2 linked regions of the Astyanax mexicanus genome follow. The protein of the gene in region 1 interacts with the protein of each later gene in a pairwise test. Links are inferred from orthologs where the notes say so. Each region holds a gene or a part of one and is shown on either strand. Other genes may lie near its edges.

Region 1 (7,120 bases):
TAAATGCCCCCAAATGCTGAGTGTTCTTCATATCTTTCACATAAACCCCTTATATGCAGAGTTAATGATTGAGTTATTGATCCTAAAGCAATAGAATCACTGAGTTCAATTTTAGGGCTAATTGTAATTGATGTAAATTATATTATTTAAAAAGACACAATATCCAGATTGAAATGGGCTGCAATCAAAATATCTGATACTGTGTAAAATTGCAAAAAAAAAAAAAAAAATGAAAATTGCACATATCACTATGTCAAGACACTGTGATTAATACAGTGTACTGTGATGTGTATTATGTTATTTGTCATTTACTGTGTCACTTAATGGTTTTAAAAGCTGCTCTTTTTTTTACTGTGTTTTATACACATCACACAGACATGTTATTTATTCGGAGCTTCACATTGTTTTGTTTTGGTTGCATCAATATGTTTTTGTCCGGTTTCACAGTACTATAATGATTTCAGCTCCTTCAAAACTTGAATATCTGACACATTCTGAAAATAATTTTAGTATTTAGGATGAATCGTGCCCCGTACAAAGTAGTACCTAGTCCATTTTTTATCAAAGCATCTCAAGCGTTTACATTGTCCGCAGTAACAGAATGCCATGCAGTCACTCTAAACGCTATACTGAGCCATAAGATCTAAGTAAACATGACTCGACCAAGTCCACACCACTTTCATTTATCTTTCTGCCCTTATCCATCTGTAAGGTCACATTATTTCAGACTGTTTAAACAGCAAAGCTCAAGATAAAACTGTATCTAAGCCAAATGATTGGAACAGGTACAAACACAGTGGCGTGGTTCAGAGGAATTCACACATAGCGTAATAGTTTCACAAGAAAAAGTAGGCCGAATTCCTTCAGGTGGGGTATTGTGAAATCTGTCCGTTTCACAGGTTGGGAGAAGAAAATGTGTGTTAATGTATACTGTTCACGCAGTTTGGTTTCTACACTTTATTCTTTAGTCTGAAGGAATTTGAATACTGTACTGTAAAATACAGGCATACATCAAGGACATCATCCTCCTGATTAAGCCATTTGTTCCCTAAATTTACCTAATTAAATGTTTCTTCTTTTAACTGAGGTTGCAAAATATTTATGAAGTCACAAAATTGTATTTTTCCATCTGTTGGGCTCTGTAACCTAGGTTTCTATGGCTAAAATACACATTGTTTTTAGATTTTTGCAATACTATTAGACATACCTTGCTAGCTAACATAATGAGATAATACACATAGTTTACTATACATTATATACACAATATTATGCTCCCAAGTTATAATAGGGTTGCATTGCAAGGCTGTTTATTGTTTTCAATATTGTTTTTTTGTTTGTCCAGGACCTTGAAAAGGTTTCAGACCTTTTAAAAATATTAATAATACATAACACTCGATTATCATGCAATATTAAAGTATTGCTCACGTCCTGCTAATGTTATTGATGTCAATTAAGAGAAGAAAACAAAACAGAACCCTTTCAAAAAAGCCATGTCAGGTGGCTAATCCAGGCCCCACAAAGTAAACATCCACCCCAGGATTTTGTTTTAACTGCCCGGACGGCTCTGCTGCAGCTCAAGAGTCTATGCAGTTGGAACAAAATCATGGGATGGATTTTTACATTCTGAACCTTTTTTTTTTTTATTATTAAGTGGCACTCAGGAAACACGGACTCCTTAGCTAGCGTAGCTTGCTAACTTTAACGTAATTAACACATACTAAATGAAATAGCTAGCTTATATAATTAAAACAACATAGCTCGTACAGTCATAGCATGTTTTATGTTTTAATCTTCTGCATAACTAAGATAGCTAGCTGGCTAGTTAGTTACAGCTAAGACATACTGACCAACTAGCTAAAGTCCTGGTAAGAGCCGATAGCTAACTAAGCTAGCTAAGGGCTAATAACATGTTTTACGTTAGCGTTAACTAACTAAAAGCTAACTGGCTGGCTAATTTAGCTACGTTCAATGCGTCACACAACATTTCTGCTCGAGTTGTCCAGTTGTGTGGGATTTAAAAACGTACGAAAGTCACGTAAGAGCATAATTCGAATTCGTGTAACAGTGAAAATACATTATCTAGCGCTATCTGTCAGTTAGCCAGCTAAGCTAACGGGGCTAGAAGTCTCCGAACTGCGCAAGTGAGCCAAGCTAGCTATTTAGCTAGGTTAGCTAAATAGCTAGCTAGCTAACTACGTTAGCCTCATACACAGGTTTATATCGCATTTCAGGGACCTAGTTAACTGAATCAGTGAGGGACTGAAAGACGGTCTGAACACGGTTTATTCTCACACACAAGTCGATTAGGACGTTTTTATTCGTGACCTTCGTGAAAAGAGAAGACGAACAGCTCGAATAACTTAGCTAAGCTCATGAATGTCGTTCACATTCGGAGCATTTCCAAAAAATAATCGGCATAAAACAAGTAAGGGTCACATAGCTAGCGTTTACATACGTTAGCTAGCTCTACCTAAATGATATAACCTAGCGTTAAGGTTGGTGTAGCTAAAATCTGTCAGCAGGAAACATGCAGCTATAATGAGGTGACTTGTCTCTAGTTAATGGACACTCTGGTGTTGGTGTTGGTGCTACTGCTGCAGCATTTCTAATTCTGTAATTCGGCTCACTCTTGGATGGGTGACAACATTTATGCACCCCTGCTTAAGAGCACTCGGGCCTTCAAGCCTGAGCCTGAAGCCCGCATCCCCGGAGCTCGAGTGAAGGCCTCGCCGGCTGCGGCGTTCCAGACGCCGGCCTGTACTCACAGGAAAGGCTCGTATCCTCATCTTGGTGTCCTTTTTGGTGCCGCCTTTGCTGAGATTTGACATGTTTGGCTGCCTCCCCGGTGGTCTCCTCGCTCACATGAAAGACTTGTCCTGGTAAAGGGAAGGGAGATAAGTCCGTGGAGCCGATGATCAGCCTCCACTTGACCTTCTTTAATAGCTGGAGATCCCAGTAGTTTGGGACTTGTTGACAAGCGCCTGACTGCTCGGCTCTGCTGTGCTGTGCTGCTCTCCAATGATGGCGGACGGTACACACACACACACACACACACACACACACACACACACACACACACACACACACACACACACACACACACACACACACACACACACACTGTGTGTATGTGAACCTCTCTCACTACTGCAACACATGCGAATAGATATGAGATGGTCTCCTATATTTTCATATATTCATGCACTGACACATTCATTCAATAAAACAAACAAACAAACAAACAAAAAAAAACATTACTATTAAGTTTACTATGAGTTTTCTTCTCAAAATGTCTGTAAAATAAACAGCAAATAATAAAAAAAAGTTTTCTTTTTAAATTGGTTTCATATTGGCCCCACATACAGCTCTGGAAAAAAAATAAATAGACCACTTCAGTTTCTTAATCAGTTTCTCTGATTTTGCAATTTATAGGTATATGCTTGAGTAAAATGAACATTGCTGTTTTATTCTGAAATAACCTCAGTTTTCATGCATCTTGGCATGTTCTCCTCCACCAGTCTTTCACACAGCTTTTTAATAACTTTCAGCAGTTCAGCTTTGTTTGTTGGCTTATGATCATCCATCTTCCACTTGATTATATTTCAGAGGTTTTCAATTAGGTAAAATAAATAAAAAAACTCATATATTTTAAGTGGCCTATTATGTTTTAGTGATGAGCCCCATCCAAGTTGTACACTTGTGAAGCTAAGGTGCACTGTAATGATGGGGCCTATATGGGACCAACCATATATGGCATTGCAGTTCGGTAATGTTGGATTATTAGTATGATCAGTTCTGCGCTCCAGTTCATCTTAAAGATATGGAGAATCCATATACATATCAGCACAGAGACCCCCACAATCCAATGTTGGAGTGTAAGGGTTATACCTTTCAGACTGATTCTTGGCATTGGCCATAATAACTTCAGGGAAATATGTGACTGGCTGCACTAGAGACAATGAACTGTTTTGCCCAAGATCACACAAACAGAACCCACAGACTCAAGTGTAATGTTACTTGAGAGCTGTTAAACTGGTCACACCAGCAGTGCCCCCATAAAAACACACAGTACAGACTCTTGCTGATCTAAACAATTTTTCTATTAACTTACTATATGCACCTTGCACTTTGAACTCTCTAATAATTAACATCTAAGCAGTGTTTAAGCCATTCCTTTGCATTATATTGTTAACCCTGGACCTTTTTTGTGTGTTTATGAGTTTGTCTCAGGTTTGGTAGACGTGGAATGTATTGCTTAATGCAATAACAAATTAATCAAACTAAAGCATGTAGAATAAACCAAAAAAGGTTTAATCTACATTTAACTCAAATAAATTCAAATCCAGAAATCTTTATGTATTTTTCTCTTGGATGCGGTGCAAGGATAATCCACCAGGGGGCAACAAAAGTCAAATTATGTTTTATTATTTATGTACTGAATTATTTTAATTATTACATTATATGTTATTGTAATTTCCTAATGGTTATTATTGTATTTAAATATGATCTAAGAATAATAAAATTAATATCAAATAGATGCTGCAGATTTTTAAAAACTTCACTACGTATCAAATATGATAATTTAGCAAGATGTTTATATTTTTTGCAATTTCAACTAATTTGAACTACTTTAGTCTAAAAGAACTACTTATTCTAAAAGAAAATTGAATATTTTTTTTAAATGTGTTGCACACTAGTTAAGAAAAAATATTCGAATATTTTTTAACTTAATTCAAATAAAAAAAAGAGAGACCTTCTAACATGATGAATGTCTTTGATTTTACCTAACTGAAAACCTTTGGAATATAATTAAGAGGAAGATGGATGATCACAAGCCATCAAACCAAGCTGAACTGCTTCAATATTTGCACCAGGTGTAACATAAAGTTATCCAATTGCAGTGTGCAAGACTGGTGGAGGAGAACATGCCAAGATAAAGAAAAAGAAAAACTGTGAATAAAAACCTGGGTTATTCCACCAAGTATTGATTTCTGAACTCTTACAACGTCACGAATATGAACTTATTTTCTTTGCATTATCTCGCTGCATCATTTTTGTTATTTTAGCCATTTTTTTATATTTATATTTAGAACATAAATGCTCTAAATGATTATTTATTATATAATTATTTATTTGTAATTTGGGAGAAATGTTGTTCATAGTTTATAGAATAAGACAACAATGATAATTTTATTCAAACATATATATGTATATATATAAATAGAAAAATCAGAAAAAACTAATTCCGATTTTTTTTTATTCTGTACGTTGAGCAATGCTGGTTATGAGTACGATTTTTAGTTATTACATAGTTTTAGTTTTTTAAATTTGTAAACAGACAGCAACATTTAGCCTGCTATGGGAAAAACGTAACTTTGTGAAATAGCACATTTAGTAGGTGAACTGAAAATTGGCTTGAAAAAGGTTAGTATATAAAAAGTAGTATAGGTTTAATGTGATCATGGGCAGTCTAAATGTTTAATGGTAATCAGTTCTGTGGAACTGAGCTTTAGAGCGACATGTAGGGAAATTATTTCTTTGTTAATGGAGATGAGAGACTCTCCTCACGACATGTAGATAAAGGAGCAGCAGAGAGCAGCCTAGCTGTCCCACTGTCCACTGCAGCACACCAAACTCAACGCCTTCAGGAATGATACATATATATATTTTAGCAGATTTAAACTTTAACTTTAAAGGGAAGGACTTGTGTTCGTTGTGTGAAGAAGGAATTGCGTTTTTACTGCAGTCATTTCTCCTCTGAAACTGGATATAACACTTTTGGCTTTATATTTAATTACGGACGGAATATCTACAAAGGAAAAATGAACAGTTTATCGGTAGAGGCCTAAGGCAAAGAAATGGTAAGATATTTTTTTTTTGTATTTACCCTGAATATTGTTGTACAATTGGCTTACTTTAGCCCAGATATGTGTGTCTATAAAGCATTTATTTAAATATTTTGGCTTTGGTTTTGTCTTGGTAGTGCGTAGCATTATATTAATCGTGTTTTAGTAGCTCCAACCCATTTAAATATAGTTCAAATAGACATTTTGTGAATTTTAAGTTAATTTCAGGGACAGTGCTGTTTTAAAGCAGATTTGAAGTATATTATTGTGTGTTGTCCTGAACCCTCTTTATATATATCCACAGTACGGCTTTATTAACACATGTTTGAAGTCGCTGGTGATCGATAAATTTGGAGAAGACACATGGAATAAACTCAGGTGAAGATCTATCTATCGCTTCTCTGTGGCTCTCTGAAGCTACCCATACTGTCCAGCAGGTGGCGCTACTGGCCACGGCATCGCTGACTAATGCACTGCAAACCAGGAAATAATAATATTATTGTACAATAAAACTAATATTAATATTAACCAGTCCAGTTTTAAACATTATCCCAAATGACTTACAAAATGCATACACAAATTAAAATTTAATGAATAAAAATATTAATATGAAAAAATATTAGAAATGTAAAATTAAAGCCTTATATAATGGTACCTTAAAACATTTTGAAGCTTCATTTTAAAATGGGATAATGGAGATTATACATCTTTACATAAAAAAATATGCCTATTGGAATCTCAGCAGATAGACATTTGCTTCTTTGAGAAACCTGAAGAAGAAGAAGTCATGCTTTTTTTTCACTGAAATACTAAGAGGTTATGTTTGGTTACATTTGTAAAGGAAAAAAATTAAGGATTTTTTACAGTATTGCTTAGCCATAATTTAAAAACAATATATTAAAAAAAAATCAATTATGTTTTTTATTGATATATATTGACATTTTTCTGAGAATGTGAAAGCACTCATATATATATATATATATATATATATAGGAATTGAACCATCTCATGTCACATTCACATTTGTGGGACTTAAAAATGTTCATTAATTTCATTACTTAATCAAAATGAACATCTATAATTTATATCCAATCCATAACTTAAGATTTTTTCTCAAACATAAAAAAACAAGCTGTATCAAATTTGTAAAAGCATTTTATTCACTATTTGCTGCACTAAATTCTGCTGAACAGTTGGTCAAATATCTTACAAAGCTTTGCAACACAAGTATCTCATTGTAACTTTGAGAAAATAACATATACAAAGAAAACATA
Region 2 (7,517 bases), on another chromosome or scaffold:
GCCAAGTCCTGCTGGAAAATGAAATCCACATCTCTATAAAAGTTGTCAGTAGCAGAGGGAAGCTGTAAGATATGAAGTGCTGTTGTAAGATTTTGTGGGAAAACAAAACTGCACTGACTTTAGACTTGATAATAAAACACAGTGGATCAACACCAGCAGATGACAGACATGTCTCTTTATCCAAACCATCACTGATTGGTGGAAACTTCACACTAGACCTCAAGCAGCTTGAACTGTTTGTCTCTCCACTCTTCCTCCAGATTTTTTACTGATTTTACTGATGGTCAGTGACGGTTTGGTGAGCCATCTCATCTGCTAGTGAATAATAATACAGGTTGCTGTCCCAGGACTTTTGGCACATGAATATACTTCAATTCTCTACTATAAAATTCCAGCAACTGATGAAATAGACAGTGTTTTTCAGTAATAACACACTTTAGATTTTTGAATGTATAATTACAAAAGAGAATACATTAATAGCCACTATTAATGATAAACATTTCAAAATTAAAATTAGTAAACAAATAGAACTAAAAACATTTATTTACATGAATCACCAAAAACACACATTTTATACTTTGTAACTCTACAACAGTCTAACTACAAACTACAAATATAAAAACAGCACAATTACAGTGTAATGGATATTTACCGTTGGCCAGTAGATACTGCACCAACTCCTCGTGTCCGCAGAGGCACGCATAGTACCTTCATTCACACCAAGACACAAGGCACATTCAGCTGAGTCCACAGCAGCTACACGGAAATCAAAATACATTTAATACAGAGGAATCAATTCTGACTCACAGAGGTGTACTGTCCCATTTATCTCTCACGTTCAATTCCACATCTCTCTGTTCAACCAGGTATCTGAGCAAGAAAGAGAGAGAAAAAGAACGAGAGAGAACATTAATTAGGCAATAAATAAATATATATATTATATAATATAATTATATATATATATATATATATATATATATATATATATTACAAGAAATACATCACTGTTATGAAAAAAAAAACAACGCAAATTTCACAGTAGATAAAAAATCCTAATTCACTTTCAATGAAAGTCAAAGCACAAGTTAAGTCACAAATTATATTCCAAGTCATTTTTAAATATTTCTATTGGTCCATTCATCATGAAATTTTGATACAATATTTAACTATAAATATATAACCACAAAAATGGAGATACAACGTTTATACAACGTAAATGAGATATATTTTTTTATATTTATATTAGGAATTAATATTAATAACATAAACAAAAAATTAAATGACATAATAATGTTTTAAAGGGATCATGTTCACCACATTTTACTGCACTGTACTATTTACCCTAATATCCAATTAAAACAATGGTGAAAATTTAATAATCATCATCATAACTTTAACAATGTTTACCATAGGGGTTTCAGAAAAAGTGTGTTATATATAATATAATGTTTTGCAATATTTAACAATCTGAACGAAAAAATTATTGATCTTTTTGTGTTTCAATCCCAACCATTAGAAAGCAGTGGTATACAGTATCCCATTCTTTTGATAGGATATGCAGATTTTACACACATAATATTGATGTTTTTCCTACATAACAGTTTAAATAATTATTTATTTAAAAAATTGCCAGTATCGTATTGCTAACAGTATCACAGTCTGCATCTGAGTCTAGTATTGTTTATAGTTCTCATAATATAAAACCCCTGGTTTGATAAATCAGTGTATAATGATGTTAAATTAGATTAGCTGCTGATGGAATTGAACACATCCAATGCTTCATATGCTTCACATATGCATCTGTCAGAAACTTGTAAAACACTCTTTTATGTGACAGTGATTTTCATACTTTAAACTTTTCCTTAACTGAAGTACATAAAGGTTATGTTTGCACTGCGTTTAATATAAAAACTGCATGTAAGGTTAAAGGGGGCTGCTTACTATTTTTTTATTAAATGTAAAGGAAAAACAGCTTGCGCATCACTTTAAATTGTGCTGTTTGTTTTCAAAAAAAAAAAAAAGTTAAGAATTAGTAGTAATGTATTATCACACTTATGATGCACGTTTATGCAAGTTTCAAAAATCAATAACAACTCTGGAAACATAACGAGACCACTTCAGTTCCTGAATTAGCTTCTCTGATTTTATTCTATAAACTATGGACAACTTTTTTCCAAAATTTCAAAGAAAAATATTGTCAGTTAGAGCATTTATTTGCAGAAAATAAGAAATGTCTAAAAAAAAAAGATGCAGAGCTTTCAGACCTTAAATAATGCAAAGACAACAAGTTTATATTCATAAAGTTTTAGGATATCAGAAATCAATATTTGGTGGAATAACCCTGGTGGTTTATAATCACAGTTTTTTTTTCATGCATCTTGGGATCATGTTCTCCTCCATCAGTCTTACACACTGCTTTTGGATAACTTTATGCTGCTTTACTCATGTTGCACAAATTCAAGCAGTTAATCTTGGTTTGATGCCTTGTGATCATCCATCTTCCTCTTGATTATATTCCAAAGGTTTTTTATTTGATTAAAAAAAAAAAGAAACTTTAGCTACCTAACGTTACTTACTTTTAAAGGGTTAAGTTTGTTTACTAACGGAGTGTACAGTATGTGCTACTCTGCACCATAATTAACTCCCTGAACTAACCTCCTGAACATGTATTAACACTGTTACCAGTTTATATAATGCCCTCACTAAAATAACAACTACAATACCAGAGTCAGGGATGATAAAAATACTGATATATATCTATATATTTAGTTTAAATAGCGGCTGCAGAAGTTTAGCCCGGAGTACAGACCTCACTCTCGCAACGTCGCCCTTCCTGCAGCTCGAAAACAGATCGTTTGCGTCCATAGCGGCGATAAAGCGGCTCTGAAAGGCATTGAACCGGCCTGCCTGGAGGACGGGGCGGAGAGCAGGCGCTGGGCGGCGGGTTAGTGAAGAAAACTCGGCTGGGTCGCGGCTCTGGAGGCCCTGCTGCTCGCTGTCACTGCGCTCCGCTGTTTTGACGAAATTTCTCTCAGACGTAAACAACAGTCCTCCGCCACCATAGAGTTTCCCCACAGGCTGAGACCCTCTGCCGCCCCCTCCGGAGGAAGGTGGTACTGCAGGTCTGCGCCCAGTAAGTTAATATAAAAAAAAGTTAATTGATTTTTCCCCTAATATTCCTTAAAATTGTTCTAGGAAATAACCCTTTAAATCTTCTTTTAAAAATTGAACTTTACTAAGTACTCCCTTAAGTGTTACATAAAGTCGCTTACCAGTCTATTCCGTTAGAAGCCGCAAAAAATAATGAGATTTAATAATGAGAATAATGAGATTTTAAACTTATATTTATAGATTCATTAGGCAGTACACGTTAGTTGAATTAAGGCGATTTATTTTTTATTTACTTTTTAAAAAGTAATACTTTCAACGCTTCTCTCTAAATTAGCATAAATATCGCTACAAAATCTAGCAACAAAACCTCTAAATTTGCATAAAAGATGCTAAATCTAGTGACGAATTTTATATAAAATATATTAAAATATATATTAAAAAACCCAAACCTCCCCTTAACTCCCGAAAACCTTTTTATATTAATAAAAAAAATTAAACCTATATTAATTCAATAATTAGGCAGGATTGCAAAAGTATGACAAACTTACGTGTTTATACACGTAACATATACACATCAGTTAATATAATTTTTATTCACTTTTTCAAAATAATACTTTAAATGCTTCTCACTCAATCTACCAACAAATAGTTGCTAAATCTAGTGACAAAATCTTTAAACTAGCAAAAAAGTTAGCTAAATTCCTAGTGACACAATTTCTAAATTAGCAGAGAAGTAGCATATTGATGTTATTTATTACAGGGTGGACGCAAGAAATAAAAAGTAAAAAATTAAAAAAAATAAAAATAAGTAAAAAATAAAGGTGATTAAGTTTAAAAAGAGGATTTTTTTTTGTTTTGAAGCCCAATTAGCACAGTTTTTTTGTTTTTCTCATACTGTTTGAGTAAAATATTATTAAGACTGTCTGAATAAAACTAACCCCTTTTCTGACTTGTAGTAAAAGACACTTGCAGTTCTCTTAAGTGACCAGCAGGGAGCGTACAATCATCAATCATATCCTAATACAGCATGAAGCGCACTGGGCCTCTTGATCAAATCATGTCAAGTAGTTTTATTGTCAATACTGCGTGATATTGTGTTATAATAAAGAGATAATAGACTTAATACAGAAAAATAAAAATATATTCGCAGGGCGAGGGGAAGATTGCTGTATTTCTTTCTTAAAATATGTTTCATGATCTAATTTCAGAGCTAAAAACCAATAACTTTGTACCGTCATGTTTAGAGGTGGTGGGACTGGGACCTGGTTTAGGGGTGCTTGTGCCCCTCTAAAAAAGAGCTAGCAACTATTGTTCAGCACCTCCAGGAACTCCTTCAAGAAAACCATTCCAGGTGATTCTATCTCAAAAAGACACTGAGATTAAAATATATTAAAAAGAGTGTGTAAATCTGTCACCAAGGCTAAATGTATAAGACATATTCTGGTTTAAAACAATACTTCAATACTAGCTTTAATATAGTCTTCAATATTAAAATCACAAAGAAAAAAATACAAAACACATTGAATGAGAAGAGGTGTGTCCAAACTTTTGACTGGTATTGTAGGTGAAGTTTTTGGCACAACAGGAGAAGATCAGAGCGTGCAGGTGGCTCAGAGGTGGTTGGACAGGTCTGGACAGCAAATTAGCAGAAACATCTGACCTGACAGATTTCTCGAAACTGACAGCAGCTTTAAAGAACCATTAAACTTTAAACAATATGTTTTTGGTTAATGGACAAAATGTGTTCATTTGTTCAATGTGTTCATTCCAGTCCTGCTTACAAATTTTTATTTCCTAACTTTTCCTAACCTAAACTATAAAAACTATAAAACTTTTATTGTGATCATTTCTGCCTCTGCAGCGCCCCCTCAGGTTCAACTGTGCTATTATAGGCGAGAATGATGTGTCCGTATACTTTGGTACGCGCACACATCACAATAGGCAGATTATTTAATCAATCAATAGTACTGCCCCCCCTGTTGATGCCCAACCAAACACAGAGCCAATCAGCTCTCCCTCCTGAGAGCTGCCTCGCCTCGCCCACTGGGTGATGTATGGGTTTAGAGACGAGGGTGATGTATGGGTTTAGAGGCGAGGCAGGAGGGACCCTCCCAAACTATTCCTCCCCTTTTTTTTTGCCTTTTTTAAATTTGAGCTGAGGGTGGGAGTGTTGGGGTTGCGGTTATCAGTTCAAACTTTATTGGAAATCCTGGAAATCTATTAGAGAAAACAGACAGGAAGCTAAATATTTAATATGAGTACTCTAAGTATATTAGGCAGGTTCTTCGAATAGCAGACGGCAGCATCAGTAGATCATCAGATACCTGTGAACCAAAACATGCCAGCTCACAACACTGGTACAGAACTCTGACATCAGCAGTCTCTACTACTGAGATTACATCAGGACTGGAAGAGTTCCCAGACACACAGTGTGTGGGTGTGGGTGTGTGTGTGTTCATGTGTGTAAGCATGCATCCCTGATGAATACATGAATGTACAGTATGTGTGTGAGCTGAGCTCTGCTATCAGTTGTTAAACTTGTTTTTCCATCTGAAGAATGTGCATACCTCCAAACACACACACACACACAAAAACACACACACACACACACCCCGGCTAAGTATATATATGTTGTCAGTCCAGGACTCCACACACCTCCAATTATCACACTCCACCATACTCTACAGTCCTCAACAGTCTTCCTCAGCTCTGCAGTCATGAGTAGTCGGGTCAGCAGCAGCAGGTCCAGTGTGCGGAGCTTCAGCAGCAGTTCTCTGGGCTCGTATCCCCGGGCTGGAGCGACCATTCCCCGCACTGGAACCTCATATTTTGGCTTTGGGGATGCTCCAGCGCAGAGCCTGCCTGTTAGGGCCGTAACTGTGGACAGGAACCTGCTGACCCCCATGCAGCTGGACCTGGACCCTGACCTGCATGCGGTCAGACTGCAGGAGAAGGAGCAGATCAAAACACTCAACAACCAGTTCGCCTCCTACATCGACAAGGTGAGAGAGCTAGCCAAGTGTGTTTTACCCTGTATACTTAAAAGACTATTAAGGATTATATTTTTATAGTGATTCATAACATGATCAGAATGTAGATCAGGATGTATCATCAGAAATTAAGGAAACATGCTGAGTTTAAGCACCAACAGCTTATGTCAGCAGAGTTTCAGCCAGTATTTTAGTACTATATACTGTTTAGTATGGGTTGTAGACTTTTTTCTGCTGAACAGATCAGTAATCAGTAATCAATTTTCAAGACGTTCTCCATCAAACCTGGCTAAGCTTGAGCTGTTTTATAAAGAAGAATGGGCAAAAATCTCTAGTCTCTAGATGCGCAAAACTGGTAGAGACAAACCCCAAAGCACTTACTGTTATAATTGCAGCGAATGGTGGCTCTAGTAAATATTGATATAGGACTTTTAGGATGTGCTACTAATGTCTTGTCTTGATACTACAGGACACATTTAAAGGTCTTGTAAAATCCAACTTAGTGGATGAGAGGGATCTACACAATATGGTGGTTTTAATGTTATGGCTGATTTAAGTAAGTAACTAACAGACGATATTGCAATGTCTTCTCATTTTAACTATAGATGGTTGCTTTAATGTATTTTATTTAGTTATTGCTGGTCATGGATGGAGGGAAATTAAAATTTTATTTAAACAGCTCGTTTTCAGCTTATTTATGTTATAAATGACCTGTAACTGACATTATTTTAACTTTTAATGATTAATAACAAAAGCATCCTCACCAAGGTGTCTCTAATCATCACATCAGAGAAAAAAAAGGTCAACCAGGAGCTTCACACTATCTGTTAACATCTCTCATCTTTTATCATATCTCTCTTTCTCTCAGGTGCGCCACCTGGAGCAGCAGAATAAGTTATTGGAGACAAAGTGGAAGTTGCTGAATGGTGAGACGCGCAAGGACTCCAGGTTGGAGCCCATGATGAAGAATTATATCAGCACCCTGCAGGCCCAGCTGGACACCCTTAACAGAGACAAGGATCGGCTGGACGCTGAACTCCACAGCACCCACCAGCTGGTGGAGGACAACCAAAACAGGTTAGGCCCCCCTTAACAATCTATAGTGTGATTAAAAAGTCCATTTACATGTCCAAGTACTGGATAGTATTGCTAACACAGTTAATACAGTAGCAAAGGGTCATACACAGGAAATCCAAAAGATAAAGGTAATTCAATACCCAGCGAGGAGCTACTAAAAAAAACAAAGGGTTTATACACTAAAAGAACTAGGTGTGGGCAATCAGAAGCTCAGAGAGCTCGAGCCCTGTAGTGTCACATGATCAGCAGGGTCCTAAAAGGTCCAGTGTGATTGCATGCTGGGAAAAATGACAGTTTTTATCAGATAATTTGTGTTGCTCTATCACTTAAAATCTCAAT

The links.
Region 2: the proteins of cul3b (region 1) and abtb1 interact in binary tests that used the Homo sapiens proteins (3 or more experiments, as listed by UniProt). The two-hybrid records come from large-scale screens. The link is inferred for Astyanax mexicanus from reciprocal best matches to the Homo sapiens genes CUL3 and ABTB1.

What each region holds. Positions count from the first base shown.
Region 1 is NC_064411.1:43,398,086-43,405,205, reverse strand, and holds the start of cul3b (cullin-3b), read right to left. Parts: upstream 3,042-7,120; 5' UTR 2,829-3,041; coding exon 2,766-2,828; intron 1-2,765. Other genes in the region: guanylate cyclase soluble subunit beta-2-like, read left to right, coding at 5,859-5,861, 6,151-6,224. UniProt on the Homo sapiens protein: Core component of multiple cullin-RING-based BCR (BTB-CUL3-RBX1) E3 ubiquitin-protein ligase complexes which mediate the ubiquitination and subsequent proteasomal degradation of target proteins.
Region 2 is NC_064419.1:3,833,941-3,841,457, reverse strand, and holds the start of abtb1 (ankyrin repeat and BTB/POZ domain-containing protein 1), read right to left. Parts: upstream 3,078-7,517; 5' UTR 2,866-3,077; coding exon 2,810-2,865; intron 871-2,809; coding exon 808-870; intron 709-807; coding exon 653-708; intron 1-652. Other genes in the region: si:dkey-222n6.2 (keratin, type II cytoskeletal cochleal), read left to right, coding at 5,829-6,113, 6,970-7,178. UniProt on the Homo sapiens protein: May act as a mediator of the PTEN growth-suppressive signaling pathway. May play a role in developmental processes.